Linked DNA regions of Kluyveromyces lactis. The protein of the gene in region 1 binds, or shares a complex with, the protein of each later gene. Links are inferred from orthologs where the notes say so. Each region holds a gene or a part of one and is shown on either strand. Other genes may lie near its edges. The genes, in order: MED7, MED1 and SRB7.

Region 1 (2,549 bases):
AAAATGGCAATATTGCTTCTTTATTGAGTTTTATGGCAATTACGGTACTGATTACGAACTTCTGGCGAAAAGGTTTGACGAAAACTGCGCAAAATGGATTCACTGGGGTAAATTCTACCGAAACGCACTGTATTACCAAATCCCATGATATATGCATTATGTTTAGAAACAAAATGCAAATACTGATCTTAAAAACGAAGCAATCGAAGAGGAATGTACGCATCCTAGTTGTATTCATGGAACAACGCTGTCCTGTCTATTGTTTTGGGACCGATCGAACCTGTCGATAATTCCATTAGAAGCTCGTTACGTAACTATATATACACAGAAGCCAGATTATCTAAGCTTCTTCCCAATGGTAGATATTAAATCCACACTATCCGCTTGGTATTAAATCATTGGAAATCTAAATTGAGTAACATTTTTTGCGGTTCGAACAGTCCAATAGCGATATTAAATTTCGATAATGCATCTTTGTAGGCTTAACACTCTATCTTCACTTGCCACACCGAGCCAATTTCCAAGGTTTATTATCCAACGGACAAACATTTCTGCTCTTGATCCATTGGGTAATACAATGTAGGTGGAATGCGTGGTTGCACTCACCCCAGGCGGCTACACATTCATGCTCCGAGTTGAAAGTTGCTTCCTGCTGACAATTTACACATGGTTCCATAATATGATTTCTGCAAATGGCACAATTATCAACGTCAATATCCCATGACCAAAAAGCTACCGCTGTCCATTTCGTTATCTCAAAATTGGGCTTTGACTCAGTAGCACCCTCTGTCCCGCTCTGTGCCTCTATTGGTCCCAAATCCGTGGCCATCTCCTAACGATCAGCTACTATTGGTAAATATAAATCCTTCCTTCTTTAAAACAGATTACAAACAGACGTTCTAAGTCCCAGGTCTAACTGTCGTTCAATCCTTGGAAACGCGGGTGTGAAAACCTTTTTTTAAACTATTAATGATCGAATAGAGTAGTCTTATGAATGACAAAAGATATACCCTGTGGACTATAATGGGATCTATGGACTTTCGTAACTGCCCAAACGTTCAGAAACATTAGAATTCATGTTGAAAGAGAGACAAGAGTGATATTCATATCACGTGAATACAAACATTTGTTACCCGGATGTGAAATTGTACATGAAATGGAAATCCAACTTATAGTAACCAGCACAAACAGAAACAAGTGATAAATCAGTGAACACAGGAAAGCGTGTTGGCGATATCAGACCTGTGTTAGACCTCCGTGGCCATAATCTGTCCAGATTCAAGATAAACTGGAACCTCGACCGTCCTTTAAAGTATTGAAATCCCTCTCAATAAAAGATTTTTTTGAAAGTGATTGTGAAAGTGAGAGACAATACTGCCAGTCAGAAGCTAAAATATAAAGGACCATGAGTGACAAGAACGAAGTATCATCATTGTATCCTCCACCACCACCGTTCATTCAATTTTTCACCGAAGAGAACTCAAAACTATTTAGAGAATGTGGCAAAGATGAAGAAAAACTAGCGAAATGTACAACAAAACAGAGGGAGCAGTTGAAATATTTTGTGAAGCCAGAACTACCCAGGGATGGTTCATACAGAGCATTTGGTAATGTATGGAAAATTAAGGATGAACTACCGGAGTTATCACAGATGGGAATTGAACAATTATATAGGAAACGGGAATCTGTCACGGAATTGGAAAACGGGACCACAACAGAAGTTGAACCTAGTCCTCAAGATTCGCAAAGTGGGACAAATTACGAGAACAAGATCCAAGAGTCGAAAAAACTAATGAAATCACTATTACTAAATTTCCTAGAGCTTATAGGAATATTGGGAGTGGATTCAAGTAGATATGAGAAAAAACTTGACGAGATAAGGGTGATAGCCATCAATATTCACCATCTTCTTAACGAATATAGACCGCACCAAAGTCGTGAATCGCTAATCATGTTATTTGAAGAACAATTGGAACATAAACGCAAGGAAATGGAACACATCAATAAAGTCTGTGATGAAGTGGAATCCAAGCTGGCTCAACTGTGATATATATCCCAGCATACCAGTTGTTAAGGCGATCTCTAAAAACGAAGACTTTGGTATCAAGATGTTTAATTAAACTTTCATAAGTTCGGCTGCTTGAGAGATTTAATTCGAAATTTAGCCGCCGAATAAGGTATACAGAATAAGAAAATCAGCAAACTTTCTCCCAATGCAAGCAAAGGGGGAAGACAAATTTAATAGCAAGATGTCGGACGAAGCTAATGCTCATTATTTCTAAAAGTCCTAATACCAACTCTCTGACGCTGATTATGTAACGAAGACCTAGTAAGTTTAAAATACAAGTCACGTGCTCTACATGACTCGCGAAGTCCTTTTTCTTTTGTCTTCCCAGAATGGGGTAGAATTGCCGATTTCTCTTCGATTTCAGGTATGGCGGATCGGAGAAACTAATTCCACAGGAAGAAATCCTACAATTCCCTTACACCACACTACGCATTATAAAAAAGACCCAAAAAAAGAATTAGCGATCGGAATAACTCGTGCA
Region 2 (3,421 bases), on another chromosome or scaffold:
AAGTTGGAATGGTGGTGTAGGCATAACCAACAGTTGGGAAGACCTCCTTACAAGCCTTCTTCAATTCCTTGATGATTGGCAAGTGGATCCACATACTTTCAGCTTGAGTGGAAATGACACCTTTCTCAGTCAAGGCACCGTTCAACAATTCGAAGTAAGATTGTTGGAACAAAGAGGCGGCTGGACCTTCCGGGTCAGATGAGTCAGTGATGATAACGTCAAAAGTGTTTTGGTAGTCTCTCAAGAATTGGAATCCATCACCGATATGAGTCTTGACCTTAGGATGGGAATAAGACTTCGCCATCTCTGGTAAGTACTCCTTGGAAACTCTGATAACAGCTTCGTCAATGTCACATAACCAAGCTTCTTGGACGGAATCATGCTTGACAATTTCTCTCAAGACACCGCCATCGCCACCACCGATAACCAAAACCTTCTTTGGGTTTGGGTGAGAGTTTAATGCCAAATGGGCAATCATCTCCTGGTATGAGAACTCATCACGCTCGGTGACTTGAATAGCGTTATCCAAAACCAAAACGTTACCATAATCAGTAGACTTGAAAACCAAAACGTCTTGGTACTTAGATTTTTCATGGTGTAAGATCTTTTCCACACGCAAAGTCATGGCTTGACCTGGCCACATGGTATCAGAGATTTCTCTGAACCATCCGTCAACAATCGTAGGATGTGTTAATTCTGACATGATTTCTACTTGCTTCTTTTCGACTCCACTAAAGATTTAATAAAGCCAGACAATATGGTAGATCAGATAGTGAACCAATTGAGTGCTAACAGAAAGTAGGAGTATAACCTTTTCTTATTTATGATTCTGTATTTAAATCCCATTTGCTGTTTCTTTCATATGCATTTTGCTCATCAAAATTTTTCAGTTCAAGCTAAATCGATAAGCCAGTCAGGGCCCTGACAATGTGAGAATACGGAAAATTTTTCCTTTTGACGGACCTTTGATAAGAGGGTAAGCAGCCTGCTTGCTGCCTTGTTTCTGCTCTAGTGTATTTAATCGGTTGATGTGTCACATCGATTAAGGTTATCGAGGTGTGTTAACTGTTTCGGAATGATATCTTTGTATATGCGCCTGACAGTTCACATGACATGGTATATAGAATAAGCTACTTTCAACCAACTGATCGGTTAGTCGGCCTGGATGGTGCTATATGTTGAGGGATCTGGCTCATGAGCAATCACACTCTCTTGCATCATTCTCTTAGTAACGGTTATTTGTGTGTATGTGCAGAAATTGCCAAGAATGGTCGAAGTAATTCCAGATGTTGAGAGAATGTGTGTCTCTCAACACCAGTTGTAACATTTAATTTCACAGTGCAAACATTCCTCAACCGATAGTAGAAAGGTGGATACAACCCACCAATGACTTCTTGATTGTCTCTCTCTAGAAACCAGGTATCGTTCACTTAACACGATGTAATACATTATGGAATATCCGGGTAATAATTGTTCCTAATGAAACATCGAAAGATTAAATAACCAAGTGCGCTATGCTATGAGTACCAATGATAATTACATGAGGACAATTGGGTGAGTAAGGATTCATCGCGTACCGAGTCTATTGTTACATAGTAGTGATCTGAGGGGTCTTGAATTGAAAGGAAAAAGCATCAAAAATGTCTGATGCATTTGTGGAATTGCTAGATGAAATGATTGAAAGGCTTTTGAATTATAAACCAGGAAGTCGGACTCTACCCAATGTTATCAAGCTGTGCCAAACATTAGGATTAGAATCATTTGTGGATCAAGTGGATAGTACCAAGTCAAGGTTATCAATTGCATCTAACATTGTGGTCATTGATATTGATTATGAGAATGAGATGGAGACCATTTTAGATGTTAAATTGGTCTTAGCGTCAAACTTCGATAAATTCAACTACTTTAACGAAAAGGGTGAAAATATACTATTGACATCACTTTCTGACGTCCAAGATTTGAAGGCTTTCCATCATAACTTGAATTTTTTGGTTTTCTTGGATTCTTTCTCCAACATCGACATCGAATCTGGCCACACGAGTCTTGATTTATTTAAATACTATACTGATCTGCCTAAGATGTTACAAGACTATATTAGTGATCAGCATTTGCCATTTACAGTGAAGATGAATGAAAATTCCACGTTTGGAGTATCAATATATGATGCCCAGGGTCAAACTAAGATTATGACTGTGGATTTGGAAAAAGCTCCTAATTCGGATAGATCTTTTTATGAATATGTGTATGACTCTAAACTAAAAGACTGGCTTAACGAATCATCTGATGCATCTACGCAAGGAATTAATCTCGTATTCAAATTTGAAGAACTAGTAGCGTTCCCAGAAACGTGGCTTACCACCGAGATACAGATGAATGAAACTCCAAAAAAGTTTGAACTACCACAACAATCGCATTTGAAACATACAGTTAAACTACAGAATGAACTCACATCAGATCTGTTACTTATGGATTCGTTTAGGATATCCAATGAAGATATAGCATTGTTGCCAGATTTTTTGAAGTGGTACAATTGGCATAAAATAGTTCTCCAAGAAGTTTTAAAATTAATTATTCATGACAACGTTACCAGTAGCATCTCGACCTCGAACTCTGGAAGTGTACAACCAAAACCAAGAAGAAAGTCCAGCGTGCTAAGTAATAGGAGGCCAAGTATGACAGATTCCATGATGTTGAGAGATTCTGGTATACCGGAATTCACTTTGAAGGAGATCTTAGATCAGCCTGTAATATCAGACACCGAAGATGATGATCAAATGGACGTCGACAAAGAAAAACAGATTCCTATTGTTCTGAACGAGGAATATATATATATAGGAAAAGCCCAGACTTGTTCATATAACGATAATGATGAACAAGCATGGAAAGCCTTTATAGACTACTTGAAATCTAAGCTTATATAAAAAGAATTAACGTTCACTTCAGTTTTATGATGTAGTAATATTTGAGTATAGCATTTTTTGGAAGTAAAATTTTGGTGAAATAACGCTGACGACATACGCTTCATTCATCCCAAGATTAATTTGTGGATTTGCGTTGATTTAAAGAGGTTTTTAAGCAACATTCATATAAATGATTCAAGAAATTTAGGCACTATGGCCGAGTGGTTAAGGCGACAGACTTGAAATCTGTTGGGCTCTGCCCGCGCTGGTTCAAATCCTGCTGGTGTCGTTATTTTTTTTCGTTTTTAAATTACACGGACGAAGAAGCAAGTGCCATGTATTGATTGCTGTTGCTCCTACTCTGCATCTGCTAAACTATGGTGGTTTAGTGTATCCTTATTGCCTTATTGAGAGTATTTATTGAGTATATAATATCGACCAGGAATTTGCAGTACCAGTCATAATTTCAAATCCTGAGCAAGTTTGATACCCTGGGCAACATTTTGAACCCTAGCATCTAA
Region 3 (2,474 bases), on another chromosome or scaffold:
CACCTGAAACGGGAGACAAGAAAATAGACAAATTCCAATGGGAAACACCAGTAAATTCTGCGGATCTTTTAGAGACTATGCTTTTGGATGACTTGAAATCAGTACCAAAAAAATCAATTACACCAAAGCACTCATTGAAAAGAAACTCTGATCCAATTCTGACACCAATTTTAAGGCCATCAGAATACTTAGACTCTCCAAGAACCAGAAGGTCAGTTGATGATGTTTTATTATGCTATCTACAGCCTAGTGATGCTGGATCGTCATTGGATGAAAGCTCTAGTGAGTTTTCCTACGCTAGAAATTCAAACATTTACTATAAATCTATTCTATGATCTTCACCCGTGGCCAGGGCCATTCCATTCACTTTCACAATTGTTCTCAAGAAAATATACCCATCTTTCACTCGTTATTGCATTTACTGAAATCAGCTCTCTTTTTGATACAGATTAACCCTTCGTCGTTCATTTATTAATAATTAATCCCCAATCTGCATGTGTACAGATATACACTCATTGTACGTCTTTCAATTGGCGCCATCCAACGTTATTTTCGTTTCCAGTAAACTGTTCTTTCCAAATTAGCAATTGTACAGATAGTTTTCTTTTGTATTAACTCTGATATAAGATCATTCCCATAGCAATTATAAAGTTCTTAAGCTGAATTTGACAGAGTCCCTAGTGCGTCAAGTAGACCATTAAGAGTACGTCGAAGTTCTAGTAGTTGATAAAGTACCGGCATCGAAGCTTTGAAAGATAATTGACATTGTTTCAAAGAGCTTGGGATTGAAAGGGCACCTCCGAACATATATATAGGATCCTTCTTCACCTTTGCCAATAGTTTTTCTCTTTGTTTTCTCTTCTTTAAATTCTCATTGGTTGCTTCATCTTTCTCAGGAATGATTTCTTCGTCATTGGCAATATGCAACGGCTCTTCAGTCTCCGAAACAGAGTGCTTGTCATTAATGGAGATATACCTGTTTCCTGTATAAGTTTCGTCCCAGTAATCCTTACCATATGATCCTCGAAGTGTGTTCTTATTGTGATAATTCGCTCTGCTCAACTGATGGTAACCTTCTTCAAAACTAGCTTGCAACTGCTCTAATAGAGAATCATAGGTTGCAAGATTCTTAACAATGAGTTGATATATGTCATCCTCCGTCATCATTGGTTTCCTAGCGTCTATTAATATCCAAATCGTGGCAGTTTCTTCTCATATTACGTATATTATTCAGTCATAAACGTTTTAAACCAAACTTTTGAAGTTGTCTGAAATATTTGTAACTTAATCATAGTCAATGATTTATATAAACGAATTCGAAGGTGAAAGAAAGTTAGCAATATTGCGACAAACCAGCTCCAGTAGAGGCAAGGAAGAGTGTACAAAAATGACCGATAGATTAACCCAGTTACAAATATGTTTGGACCAAATGATGGAACAATTTTGCGGTGCAGTAAATTATGTCGATAAGAACCATGGTTTTGAACCAAGTAACGATTCAGAAGAGCAGATGTCAGATCCTCAGGCCCACATTGTTGAGGAAAAGGAATTTGAAAAGAACATAGATGAATTGACAACAGACATCATACTTAAAACAAGGCAGATAATGGCTCTAATAGATTCTCTACCCGGAGTAGACGTATCTGCACAAGAGCAACTACATAGGATAGATTCACTACAGAAACAATTGATCAAAATGGAGAAGGAAAAGATAGACGCGATAAAAAGGAAGGACGCTTTGCAAGAAAAAGTAAGAACACTTACCCAAGACTTTACGATTGGCATTAATGAATCGAAGACAGAAGCACGCTTAGTATAAGAAAGGAATCATTTTGAAATCTTCGGTAGAAATTGGGTCACATGTTAACGTCAAATTGCGAGTAAGAATACTTTTACATAGTGTCTAATGTATCAAGTGGTATATAGTAGATATTTAGCTTCTTTTCCTTTTCTTCTTCTCCGAAACGATGTCAGACAGATTGTCTGACATCGTTTATTTTTATAATGACACGCAACATCATCACTAAACATAGCATCCGCATGCCCCGTCATGCCACCACCGCTCGCTGTGATATTCTTGGTTCTATAACACAGAGAACTGTGAAAGAATGATCACCGCAAATAATAGAGAGGGCATATACTGGTTAACGGAAAGATTTCTGTGCAGGCTGTAAGTAAAAATGTATAAGTGCAGGATCCAACCTAAAAATGCCTCCAAGGTGACTTCTCTTTTCATTAATTGGTTTGCAGTGGTATTAAGTAAAGTATCTTCAAAAATATTCCAAGATAACCAGGAATATGCTTCCATGAAAGTGTACACGCCCACAGATACCGTAGAAGTTATCCATAAGATTTTACCGATTTGGTTGTTATTGTCGAAAAGAATCGGCCAAGACAGGCAATCAGGTGGAGACATGCTCGTATTATCGATGTTTTGCCTTTTGTTCAATCTGAATTGACCAACAACGTACTCA

The links.
Region 2: MED7 (region 1) and MED1 share a complex: the UniProt entries of both Saccharomyces cerevisiae proteins name them as parts of the mediator complex. The link is inferred for Kluyveromyces lactis from reciprocal best matches to the Saccharomyces cerevisiae genes MED7 and MED1.
Region 3: the proteins of MED7 (region 1) and SRB7 are in contact, whole or in part, in a crystal structure (PDB 1YKH), measured with the Saccharomyces cerevisiae proteins. The link is inferred for Kluyveromyces lactis from reciprocal best matches to the Saccharomyces cerevisiae genes MED7 and SRB7. Residues at the interface, in NP_014506.1 of Saccharomyces cerevisiae: Tyr112, Gln113, Ile116, Leu119, Arg120, Leu123, Leu126, Leu127, Tyr130, Leu133, Ile134, Gly135, Tyr144, Val148, Ile151, Arg152, Leu155, Ile158, His159, Leu162, Asn163, Tyr165, Arg166, His168, Gln169, Arg171, Glu172, Ser173, Leu174, Ile175; in NP_010594.3 of Saccharomyces cerevisiae: Thr2, Leu8, Gln9, Leu12, Asp13, Met15, Thr16, Phe19, Cys20, Thr22, Leu23, Asn24, Ile26, Asp27, Gly31, Phe32, Ile59, Leu62, Ser63, Ile66, Ile67, Thr70, Ile73, Asn74, Ile77, Asp78, Leu80, Pro81, Gly82, Val83.

What each region holds. Positions count from the first base shown.
Region 1 is NC_006041.1:649,754-652,302, reverse strand, and holds MED7 (mediator complex subunit MED7), read left to right. Parts: upstream 1-1,405; coding exon 1,406-2,047; downstream 2,048-2,549. Other genes in the region: prephenate dehydratase PHA2, read left to right, coding at 1-148; SCF ubiquitin ligase complex subunit HRT1, read right to left, coding at 497-829. UniProt on the Saccharomyces cerevisiae protein: Component of the Mediator complex, a coactivator involved in the regulated transcription of nearly all RNA polymerase II-dependent genes.
Region 2 is NC_006038.1:818,670-822,090, reverse strand, and holds MED1 (Med1p), read left to right. Parts: upstream 1-1,640; coding exon 1,641-2,921; downstream 2,922-3,421. Other genes in the region: SPE3 (spermidine synthase), read right to left, coding at 1-703; YSA1 (ADP-ribose diphosphatase), read right to left, coding at 3,359-3,421. UniProt on the Saccharomyces cerevisiae protein: Component of the Mediator complex, a coactivator involved in the regulated transcription of nearly all RNA polymerase II-dependent genes.
Region 3 is NC_006039.1:1,290,630-1,293,103, forward strand, and holds SRB7 (Srb7p), read left to right. Parts: upstream 1-1,387; coding exon 1,388-1,819; downstream 1,820-2,474. Other genes in the region: GIC2 (Gic2p), read left to right, coding at 1-335; VMA22 (Vma22p), read right to left, coding at 655-1,167; PMT7 (putative dolichyl-phosphate-mannose--protein mannosyltransferase), read right to left, coding at 2,084-2,474.